Linked DNA regions of Drosophila melanogaster. Changing the gene in region 1 together with any one later gene gives a genetic interaction. Each region holds a gene or a part of one and is shown on either strand. Other genes may lie near its edges.

Region 1 (7,340 bases):
CCCACCATGGAATTTCCAGTCACTCCAATTTCATTCGCTTAATTTCAATATCTTATCGCTGTTGATAGTTCTCGTTTGATAAGTCTGCCTAGAGCCCTAACTTTAGCGTACAATTTCATTGAGGGACATCCTATGAATTGAAAAACGGCGAACGTGTCGTGTTATATTGCCTTATCTTATCGGGGCTCATCGAACCTTAGCTAGAATATGTATGTGAAATGTTAACGCGATCCTCCGGTTGGAATAGATACTCTCGACGGGAGCAGAAGTAATTTTATAAAAAAATCCGATTCGAGGGGGGAAGCGAAGTGAAAAGCTTACAATTTGCTTATATTTAAGTGTTCAATGACCCCATCAAAAGTCCACAAAGAAGACACCAAAAAGCAACACCGAATCCAAACCAACTCAATTTATGTATCTGTATCTCTGCGTATGTATCTCCACGTGTAAAATAGCTATGCATGTGTAAATAGGGTGTATTTTTGGAAGTGAACCGAAGTGAATTTAATTATAATTTTAATATAAATACTTCTTTTAGTTTAGTTTAGTTTCGTTTGAGCGTTTCACGTTCAATCTGGTATCTGTTTGTATCTAGCTTTCATACTGACCGCCAAGCAACTTTACTGATCTATCCAAACACGGCGATCACTTCCATTAAAGACCAGTTTTAAGTCGCTTTATTTCAGAGCTATCCCAACAAAATAACGGCACTTTAACTTTTCCGAACCGCAGCTGAATCCCCTCCCCTCGTTTTTCCCATTCTAGCTGCCCCCCGTTTTGGGAAGCAACTCATAAGAGATAATTGTGTCTTTCCCCCTCAAAAAATATTGTGTCGTTCATACCTTCAGAAACTTTTTGGTCGGGCAACCCAAAAGAGCACGAGCGCACGAATCGGGGGATCGGGGGATCGGTGATCATTCTCTGCCCTCCAACAACACCGCACTCACTCAAAAATAGTTTTTGTGTCGAATGTTAATGAACTTTTGCGCTAGTTTAACGCACAGCCAGCCGAATAAACATTCAGACACAATAACAACGAAAGCCGATAAAGTTTTTTGAACCTGCCTTCACCGAAACTTTTGTATTTCAACATTTGCTTCTCGTGCTCATTCTGTTTTTTGGGAGGGTTTCTTATAAATGTTCGCTTGTTGAAGGTGGAAACTGGTCGTTGGCTTTCTATAGATGGACTGCTCAAAATATATCCCTGAGATTTTGTAGCCTCTAAACGTATAGTTGCCGCAATTGTTAGTTAATTGGTATGCTAAGTGTGGCAAGCAAGTTGGACTTTGGTACTTTAAAGAATAATAACTATAAGACTGCGATAAGAACTATCAGAACTTATTGCCTAATTCGTTGCATTTATGACTCAAATGCTAGAATCTTATCAATGAAAACCCAACTAATTACATCACTTAAATGAAATCACTTCAGAGTTCAAAGTTTATTCAATGCTTGTATATGTACATATTTTCAATTAGTCTGAAATAATAAACGTCGCAGATAACTTAGATACCAATGAAATTTCCCTGAGCTCGGGGAAATTTTGGTGCTCCATAAAAGAGAATGTCATCGGAAAAGTCCGAAACCACTCAAACTCAAAAAAAAAAGAAACACTCGAAAATTTCCCTTGTCATCGCACTCAAACATTTTCCAATTGAGGGAAATTTCAGATCCAATGGGACCATTCTTGTTGGTGGTGGTTGATTTTTCCGTGACAGGGTTTGAGGCAGATTTTTCGGGAACTCACCCACCAGTCTCCGTTACACCATCGAACCGAAAACCTCGGGAGCGGCGATGTGAACATAATCTGAATCCCATTCTACTCCGTTAAGTGTTGTTTGTACGGGTGTTGTGCGTGTGCGTGTGCTTGTGTGTGTGTGTGTGTGTGTGGTCCACACCTCGAAAATGACCGACTTTTCAATGAACGATATTTTGAGATCATTCAGAAAAATGCGTATGAACAAGGGCTCGGGCCAGGGCGGTCAGCACCACCAATACCGCAATCATCAGCACCAACAGCAGCCTCCGCAAAATATGCAACACTACCAACACACCTATCCCGTGCAACAGTCGAAGGACTTGAAGAAAATCATCAAAATCATCAAGAAGAACCTGATCAAGGAGAAAATCACGCGTCAAATGAAAATCCTTGTCTAAAAATGTCATGAGACGAGCTAAATGAATGAATAAATCTTAAGACTGCTGATATACAAATCGAGGGACTGATACTGAAAAACTGACACGAGTTCAGCGCTAAAGTCTGATTTTGTAAACTCAAATCAATGAATAAATTTACAAGTATACACATTGAATAAGAAAAGATCTCTTCAAACTTATAAACTATATTATAAATTAGACTTGCTTACAATTGAATGATTTGACTTGAACAATCAAAAAGTATTATTAGGAGGAAAACCTGTATGGAGCAGTAGCAAGATGACTGAAAGCAAGAATGATACAAAATCTTGGGCACCCAAACAAATTTGGATTAAGGATGTTCTCAAGAAATCGGGCACGGAACTGCTCGATATATCCAAGAGTCCCGCAAAGGCTGTTGCCGTCAAAAAATCGCCGGCGAAAGGTAATTGAGATGCTTTTCCTAAAAATTCAGACCGAAAAAGTTCCCTCACGACGCCATTTTGTTTTGGTATACGCAATTTTTGTTTTGGGGGAAGTTGTGGGGTTCGTTCATACTATCATAACAAAAAAAAAAAAAAATACAACAGCGCGACTGATACAGAAAGTGCGAGCGAGCAGGATGGCAACGGGAAATGCCGGTTGGAAACCGTACGATTCGTAATGCTATCTCCCAAATATCCCAAGTGGGACATTTTCGAGGCAGGGTTCTCAATGAAATTTTTCCCATTTCCTCTGGCTCTCACTCTCCTGCGCCTTCGCTTTTCCTCCCCCCATAAGCTCTCGCTAGGTTTTCCTTATTTTGGAAAACCCCGGCCGGCAATAACAGAAAGTGCGTAGCACAAATTCACGGGGTGGGTTTTCCCCTTTACGCCCTTTTTTCCTTTGGCTCTTACGAGACTTTTCCTAACCACCCGTATTGCACTTTCTATCTGCTTCCGTGTTTTTCCTGAGACGCAGATTGTGAATTGATGGGGGGCAAAGGAGTTAGACCTTATACTATGGTTAAGCTGGCTTTGTAGAACCACAAAAACCAAACAATAGGTTGCTAATATAACTAATAAGCAGTATCTAATTTATAATTTCTTGTATTATTACTTAAGTCTATTTAGAACCAACTATTTTGGTCAGGTATCAAACTAGTTAACTATGGTCAAAAATCTAATGCGGCTCCTTCTTTTTCGCCCTCTTCCAGATTCAGCCACAACCAAAATGGTTTACTATTCCGCCAACCAGCTGCTTATAAAAACGGAACAATCTAGTCAGGCGCAGTTCTGCCTCCAGGTTCCGCCTCCACTAACAGCGACGACCACGAGCGTGGGCCTAGGAGTTCCGCCATCCGGCGGCCAACAGGAGCACTTCGAGCTGCTGCAGACGCCGCAGCAGCGACAAATGCAACTGCAGCTACAGGACCAGCACCAGCAGGAGCAGCAGCAGTTTGTCAGCTACCAACTGGCCATCCAGCAGCATCAGAAGCAGCAACAACAGCAGCAACATGAAAGTATTACGAACGCAGCACCCACAGCAGCTCCATCAGCCCAGCGGATCAAGACAGAGCCCGTCGGCGGATTCCCAGCGTCGGCAGCCGTGGTGTCGCAGGTGCGCAAGCCCAGCGCCAGCAAACCGCAATTCAAGTGCGACCAGTGTGGCATGACCTTTGGCAGCAAGTCCGCCCACACCTCACACACCAAGTCGCACTCGAAGAACCAAGATCTGTCGCTTAATGGCGCCTCTGGAGCCGGCGTTGCTGCGCCCGTCTCAACCGCGGCCATCGAGCTCAATGATGCCGGTCTGCCGGTGGGCATTCCCAAGAGCCCCACCATCAAGCCGCTGGCCAACGTGGCCGCCGGAGCAGATCCCTATCAGTGCAATGTTTGCCAGAAAACATTCGCCGTACCCGCCAGGCTGGTAAGTGTCACGAAAACAGAGATTTGAAATATTTGGACCACCATATCAGTGATATTAATAAGTAATATATCTCCTTCGCTTTTAGATCCGCCACTACCGCACCCACACTGGTGAACGGCCATTCGAGTGCGAGTTCTGCCACAAGCTGTTCAGCGTGAAGGAGAACCTCCAGGTGCACCGGCGCATCCACACGAAGGAGCGTCCGTACAAGTGTGACGTCTGTGGACGGGCATTCGAACACTCCGGGAAGCTGCACCGCCACATGCGCATTCACACCGGCGAGCGGCCACACAAGTGCTCCGTGTGCGAGAAGACATTCATCCAGTCCGGCCAGCTGGTGATCCATATGCGCACGCACACCGGCGAGAAGCCGTACAAGTGCCCGGAGCCGGGATGCGGCAAAGGTTTCACCTGCTCCAAGCAGCTCAAGGTGCACTCGCGAACGCACACGGGCGAGAAGCCCTACCACTGTGACATCTGCTTCCGGGACTTTGGCTACAATCATGTGCTGAAACTGCATCGCGTCCAGCACTACGGCTCCAAGTGCTACAAGTGCACCATCTGCGACGAGACGTTCAAGAACAAGAAGGAGATGGAGGCCCACATCAAGGGCCATGCCAACGAAGTACCCGACGACGAAGCGGAGGCGGCGGCTGCGTCGGCAGCAGCATCAACGTCCGCAGGCTCCTCCGCCGGATCGCCGTCCTTGCAAGGAGTCAGCAGCAACTCCGAGAGCAGCAACCACTCGCCGCCCAGCTCGCCACCGGCCACAAAGAAACCTCGCCAGGCTCGCCAGCCGCGCGTTTCCAAAACCGTTGCAGCCACCCTTTCCATCCCTACCTCCTCGCCGCTCTCGCCCAGCTCACTCAGCTCCACATACTCGCCATCGGCCAGCAGCATGGCCTCGCCACCACCCACATCGGCCCACTACCTGCCCGTCCAGATGGAGGCGGATGCCTTGAGCCGGGACAGCGGCGTGTCCAGCGCCCAGCCCGCCCACAGCACCTATGCAGACGAGGAGCCCACAGATTTGAGCATGCAACAGGTCCAGGGTCAGCTGCCAGAAAGCACTGTGGACTACTACCAGGCACCGCCAAGTCTACTCGAACTGCAGCCACAACCCGCTGGTCTAACCATCAATCCTGCCCTGCTTGAAGCGGCCAGCATTGCGCGTCGCCATGACGACAACGATGACCAGGTGCAGGATGAGGATGTGCACGCAGCCGCCTGGCAAATGATGCAGTTGTGCCGCGGCCACGGCTCCTTACCCCCAACGGAGCAGCCGGCGCCAAGCCACCAGCCACAGGTGCCCACTCTGCACGTCAGCGATCTAGCGGCTAACTACGATGACACCCATGAAGCCACCGTGCTGATCGAGCACTTCAAGCGTGGTGATCTCGCTCGCCACGGGCTGCACAAGGGCTATGCACCAGTGCCCAAATATGAGTGAGTATTTTGGTCCCCCAAGCCGGATGCTTGTGTTTTTGTCTAAGAGTATAACTAAATCGAATTGCTTACTATTCCCATCAGATCCGCTCTACCCAATCCGGACGTTGTGCGACGCGTGGAGGCGGCCATCGGCCTGCGTTCCAGCACGGAGTCGCCGGAACGTAGCTCCTCGCCGGAGAGCGACTCCCTGATGATGGCCGACCGGAACGTGATGACGCTGCCGTTGCGCAAGCGCAAGCACTACATGAACAAGGGCGACGACGGTCAGGTGGATTCGGAGAAGGCTAGCGGAGATGGCACCTCCGCCGCCGGTGGTGCCGCTTCCGTTGGCGCCGGGGATGGACCCGGGTCCAAGGTGATGCGAATGAGCTCGGTCATTCAGTTCGCCAAGGCCTCCTAGGGGTCCAAGGCCGATCCCCAATCAGCATTAAGACTGTCCAAACAAATTCTAACTGAAATTAGCCTAAGTTTTTTCTCTGAGGTTCGGGGTTAGGCCTGGAAAAAGAAAGCATAGAAACGTATGGATATGGCAGTGAGATAGTTTTCCAGCAGCGAAAATGAAAATGCCAAAAGTATTAAAAAAGGGAAAAATTTGTTTTAAAATTAATATTACCTCCTATTACGTTTTATTGGCTTGATCCGAGTTTTGTTGAATGTTTGATTTGAAAATAGTTTCACCCATATTGCAAAATTTCATTTTAGTTTGGCATATACAATGTAGGTATAGTTTGTTTTCCTGTGTTGTCCACTTAGTCAAATTGCAGCAATTGGCATTATGCGTATTAAGCATTAGCATATAACTAAGTTAATTATATATAAAAGATCACTTAACGACGCCCAAACCCAAACCCAAACCCAAATCCAAACCGTACACAATAATAAGTTACGCGCATAACTACATATATACACATATTAATGAGAACGAAAAACCATGGCCATATTGGCGCTTAATATTTATAAAATACATATAATACTTATTTATTATGAACTCTGCTCGCCAAACTTCTTCCTTCCCCTCCACGATTAGTGTCAACGGCATCTTTGACATCATGTACCCATCATTTTATATGCATTTTATACACTAAATAAGGGAAAACTGAGGAAAAAGGATCGGTAACTTTAATTTTACACACGGAGAATATTGAACTGATAAACAAGAAGAAAGCAAGCATAACTACGTTTATATACATTTTCAAACCAGAAGATAACAAATATAATTAAGAGCGTCAGCATAGTTTTTGTAAACGCAGAGTTAATACATAGATTTAAATTCTAAAATCAAATATTGCATGAAAAAACGCAAATGAAATCTGAAAATCAATAAACAAGCGTGAAATAAACCAATTCGGTGTATGTGTATTTTAATGGGGCGTTTTAATTTAAAAAACTTACCCATTTCGCTTGAGAAATCGCAGATGAAGTAACTCGATCCAATTCGGTGATGAAAATGTAGATGCACCAATGTTGGAGGTTAATAACCCTCGTTGGAATATTTTACCATGTTTGCCACCTCATTGAATGCGAATAAAACATCGAAATTTCATTACTGAATGCATTTTTATATATCATTCACTTGTGACTATACGAATGGTGTGCTAAACCCACCACAGTTCGATTAGCTAACATTTTGATTATAAAAATGGTTTTACAATTCATTTGACTGCTTCAACTAGACGCAGTCAGTTTTCCTGTCTGCCTTTGTATAAATGAAATATTAATTAAATTTTAAAAATCATGTACAACGGGCAAAGCTGCCAAACGAGCAAGGCTTCGTTTGCGGTGGCTAGAGAGATAAACAAATTATGATACAACTAAGCAAACATTGCAATTAGTATAAGAGATAAGGC
Region 2 (4,923 bases), on another chromosome or scaffold:
CGCGTTAGTTACTTACATATACTCCAAAAGATAAGACCTATAATTGTTAAAGTCTTATTTCAATTTTGGTTTTTCACAATTGAAATTGAAGTGAAAAAAAAAACAAACTTCCTATTGAAAGTTTAAATTAACTATTTGTAAATTGTGTAAGTAAATTACAGTTTTTGTCTAACTAAAACTTTTTCATTTGCGCGCAGTTTTTGCCTCCGTGAATTTTACTCCAAAAACATTTTACATTTCCCCGCAACATTTTTCATGAAAATTAGGTTTTTGTTTTATTTCATTTCGGGCTCTCTGTACAATTTTTTTTTCGAGATTTCCCGTTCGTTGTGTCCGAGTCCCAATTTGTGCGCTAAGCTTTTCCCCTCGAAGGGTAATTGCCTCATGTTTCATCTACACATCAATTAGCCGCAACAATTTAATTTGCCCGCCTGGAAATGGGAAAAGTGCGGTAGCTGGATAAAAAAAAAATAATAAGCACACAGCAATTTCAACAAGAAAAATCCATAAAATATTTGTGCAACATTTTCTCGCCGCCCAAACCTGCGGGCCGTTAGTGCGAGTGAGATGGCCAAACAACTGTCGTCAGCTATTTCAAATTGTCATAAAAATTTGATAAGGTTTTTTCCGCTGCTCCCCCAAACCACCCAACTCTGCGAATTTTTATTCCTGCGTCAGCTACAAGGCAAAAATATAACAGAAAAAAATGTTTGGGCACAAAAAGTGTTGGTTGCTCGAAAATATCATTTACAGTTAGACTGCCATGGTAGAGAATTTATAAATAAGCTAATTAATAATTATAAGCTAGTTGAAAATTAAAACTAACAAAACCGCTTTGCAAAACTAAATCATAATTATAATAGCTATATCTATTGAAATCATTTATTAAAGACCTCTTTTGAGCAATTCTTAGCCCACGAATAGCAAACTAGACTTTAAACCCAAATCCACCTTAAGTTTCGATTCTTTTCGCCTCACTTTGCGTAAATGATAATTGAACAATGGGGGCCGCCCATTGGGGCGAAAGAGAGGGGGCGTGCCAAGTGTGAGTGGCTGGCTCTCCCCATCCCTGTCGCGCTTTCGCCGCTGGTGTTGTGTGTGCATGGCAATTTGCGACGCAGAAGTAGAAGAGGAGGAAGCTAAAGAAGAAGCAGTAGCAGCAGTAGCAGCAGCAGTAGCAAAAGTAGCGGTACTGACCAGCGTCCTTTAAACGCCCGTCGCCACCTACCCCCGTTTCCTTATCTTTCGCTGTTAGCTAACAAATTTTTGCGTTGTTTTCGCTGTCTTGTCGTTTTCATTAAAATTTCATTGCTGCCGCGCAAAAATACGAAGGTACGTTGTTGCTTTTTTTTCCTCCTTTTATGACTATGTATTTTTTGCTCCTCGTTTTTTGCTCTTGTGGCAACAACAAAGTTGTTGAACTGAATTTTTTTGGGGTGTGGTCCCACACTCAAACGCACACCAGCAACGTACACACACGCTCATACACGCGCGCACACACACGCGCAGCAGCAACAACACAGCGGTAAATACAGCTGCTCAGCAAACGGTACCACCAGCAGTTGTCTCGCTCCCACTCAGTCAGGTTGTAAGCGGCGTGCGAGAGAGATGCCGCAAGAGAGTGAGAGAGAGAGAGAGAGCGAAATACTGAACGACTGGAACGGAGCGAAACTACGGCTATCTCACTCTGGCGCGCGGTAGAGAGCCGGGCAGCCATTGCTAAAAGCAGGCACTCACTCGCTCTCCCTCTCGTTTCCACCACCGCTGGTGTTTGTTTGTTGTTTTTTTCCTGCTTCTTCTTCCAACATTTTTTCTTGTTGTTTTTCTTTTTTCGCAGACTCTGGTCGAACGACTTTTGCTCTGCCCGCTGCTCGCTGCGCTGCTGCCGCCGCTGCCATCGTCCGTGGAAGGTGTACCGCAATTCATTTCCAGAGTAACTTTCGTGCCGCTCGGGTTGTTTTTGTGCGTCGTCCGTCGCCCAGTTGCTCAGTTGCTCATTCGCCCCGTTCGCCGCTCGTTCGATCGCTCTCGCCACTCGCCGCGTTCGCCGATAAGCAAGCAAGCACCAGCGCAAGCCAATAACAACAATCAATTCGCCGTCGCCAAACCGAATCAAATCAAATCGAAGCAAACTAAACCAATCAAACACAAATAAACAAATATCAACACGAGAAGCTATAGCTAACACAGCTATAGAGAAACAAAGAGCCCCAGAGGAGAATACTAAGTAATACAGAGAGATATATCCTTTTGGATATAACGCAGTGCCAAGTGACGAGAATCTGTTTTTTTACCGTGTTGCCAGTGCTAAACCATAAACATCGCCCAAAAAACATACATCTCTGGAATACAATATTTATATATATATAAATATACATATATATCTTTATATATATGCATGTGTAAAATATACTCATGCCATAACCATATAGTAGTTGGATCCGAAAACAAGTCACCATTGGAATACAGCACCGTTTTGCTTCTAGTTTTGTTTGTGTTTTTTTTTCGGTGAGTGCGATCCGCCGATATCGAGAAATCGGTAGCAATCTATATATCCAGCAAGGAATGTGGAGCCGAGAGATAAGCACGGATTACATGGGGAATCTGTAGACCTAAGTAGTTTTTGGGGGAGCGGGAATCTATCTTAGGGATTACTCTTATCAACTTGTTTATTTAGCAGAGATATTAGGTCACAAGTCTTACATTATCTATGACATATTTGAAATACACTCTTTAAACTTGGAATAATATTGAAAGATCTAACACGCTGTAAAGCTTAATTATTTTCTTTTTCGTTATCGCTTCAACTTTATTCTTGAGCCAATCTTCATTCTTCATTATAAAGCTCAGACTTTAGAGATATGTTATAATATGTTTGGTTCACTATTTTCGATTAGCCGAACTTGACAGATCTTTTGTTTTTCACTTACACTTCTACATATATTTACAAGGTTAAAATGTTCTTCCAAATGCTATAATCAACCGATATTATTTTGCCACATATACTAGTCTTTATTTAGCTTCAGATTCAATGGATCTTAGAAGTCTTTAATTGGAATACTATTCATTGATTTCGGGGACTCCCAAGTCCAACAATAGAGTTACCTATTCCATGCCCGAAACTTTGTTTCAGTTCCTTCAGCTCTTCGTGATATGATGGAGCCTTTTTTTTAAAAATCTGGTTTCGGTCAGGAAATTTCCGCCTATGACTAATGTGCTGATCGTAATGTGAGAAAATGCGCGTTTCGGAGATTCGTTATGATTTTCATAATTTTAATGGGCATATTAAGGCCGCCTCCCCTAATTAGGCAAAACAAAAAGAAGCCAGCAAGAGCCGACCAAATCGATACGAGAAATGTGATATAGAAAAAAGGCTAACAAAATGATAGGGCCAACGGCGAAGAAACCCCAAGAAAATCAATACTAGATACAATAGAAGACAGCCGACGGACCCGTTCGGGTCACATTATTCACACATATTCCCAACATCCCCACATCACCACATTCCCACTTCCCGATGTTAGCGATCGGATCGTCTAATTTCAAAGCGGCGGCTATAAATTAAAATATCTGAATAATACGTTGACTCCTCGCTGGCTACTTTGTTGTTCTGCTTTATTATTAATTTGCATATGGTTTTCTAACATAAAGCAACTGAATATTAAATATGCAAGTCGATTCATTTTTCTCCCATTCCGATAGTCTTTCTCCATTCGAATCAAAGTGTTGAGAATGGGATTCGGATTCGGCTTCAGATTCGGATACGGAGTTCGTGCAGTTGGTGTAGCTGGTGAAGCTGGTGGGGATCTCTTGGGATCTATTCGGTCCCACCCACGCTTGTGCTTGCTGGCCCTGCCTAGATCCCCATAGTATCACAATACCTCAATGTACCAATCTTCCAATGCCAATTCATTCATTCACAACATCCGCCCAGCGTTGTCGATTGTGAATTGAAAGTCGCCGAGATCGCGTCGCGACACATTTGATACCTTATCGCGGATATCCATAAAGCTCAGCGAATAAGTGAATTTCGCTCTAGGAAGCACTGAAAAAAAAAGTACTCGAAGTTGTAGATTCACATAGCAATGGCATAGCTAAACATTAGATCAAGAATTCATTGGAAGTACGTTGGTTCGATATGCTTGTGGGACATGATGTGATAGATATTACAACTAATAGTATTTATCAATATGTTAGCATTCCATATTTTGTACTATTGATTAAGTATTGAACAATACTAGTAGTTCTAGCCTATTCCATAGTGGTTTTTGAGTTATATTTTAATATGTGGGCATATTTTCGCTCACTGTGAAACGGTATCCATTGTTCCGCTTCCCTAGCACGCCCCAAATCTTTCGGATCGGTTTGGTTGCGATCAACTCGAACTCCCACACACTTGGCATGGGTATGGATATATATGCTCGTACCTGGGAGATCGGGTGTTGCCTTTTTTTTTTTTTTGTTTTGTCGTCATCTTTTGTCAATCTCTTGTGGCGTCGCCTCGCCTTAAGTGAGGTTTCATTTCGTTTCAGTTTATTTCATTTCATCCAGCGTTTCTTGGACTTGGACGCACTTACTGACTTTTTTTCTCCCAATTTTTTTTTTTGCCTACCAATTATTTGTATTATTAATTTTTATCTCTCTTCACTCTTTGCTCATTACGCGATACTGGCGGTGTTGTTGCTATTCGCTTCTCAAATTTCGTTGACAAAGCCATTTAAATAGAAATCACTCAGACGGAGGTTTATTTTTTTTTTCAGTTTTCAGTTTTCAGTCTTCAGGTTCCATTTCCAGTTTCGACTTATCAAGATCACATTGACAATGCGTCAAATAATAAGTTTTTCTAGCCGCTGTCGTTGTTTTTCTTGCTGTTTTTGTTTGTGCTGCGATTCGACTGGAGCTCTTTACTCTATTAGTCTATTA

What was found.
Region 2: of Kr-h1 (region 1) and oc, changing one suppresses a phenotype caused by changing the other (phenotypic suppression), as found in Drosophila melanogaster (one study listed by BioGRID).

What each region holds. Positions count from the first base shown.
Region 1 is NT_033779.5:6,089,664-6,097,003, forward strand, and holds Kr-h1 (kruppel homolog 1), read left to right. Parts: upstream 1-1,748; 5' UTR 1,749-1,905; coding exon of another isoform or gene 1,906-2,157; 5' UTR 2,158-2,436; coding exon 2,437-2,581; intron 2,582-3,331; coding exon 3,332-4,044; intron 4,045-4,129; coding exon 4,130-5,490; intron 5,491-5,574; coding exon 5,575-5,893; 3' UTR 5,894-6,835; downstream 6,836-7,340. Other genes in the region: CG45075 (uncharacterized protein), read left to right, coding at 1,906-2,157. UniProt on the Drosophila melanogaster protein: Plays a general role in the hierarchies of gene expression leading to metamorphosis.
Region 2 is NC_004354.4:8,647,679-8,652,601, reverse strand, and holds the start of oc (ocelliless), read left to right. Parts: upstream 1-1,920; 5' UTR 1,921-2,227; exon of another isoform or gene 2,228-2,508; intron 2,509-4,923. UniProt on the Drosophila melanogaster protein: Transcriptional regulator involved in pattern formation and cell determination in the embryonic CNS and larval imaginal disks.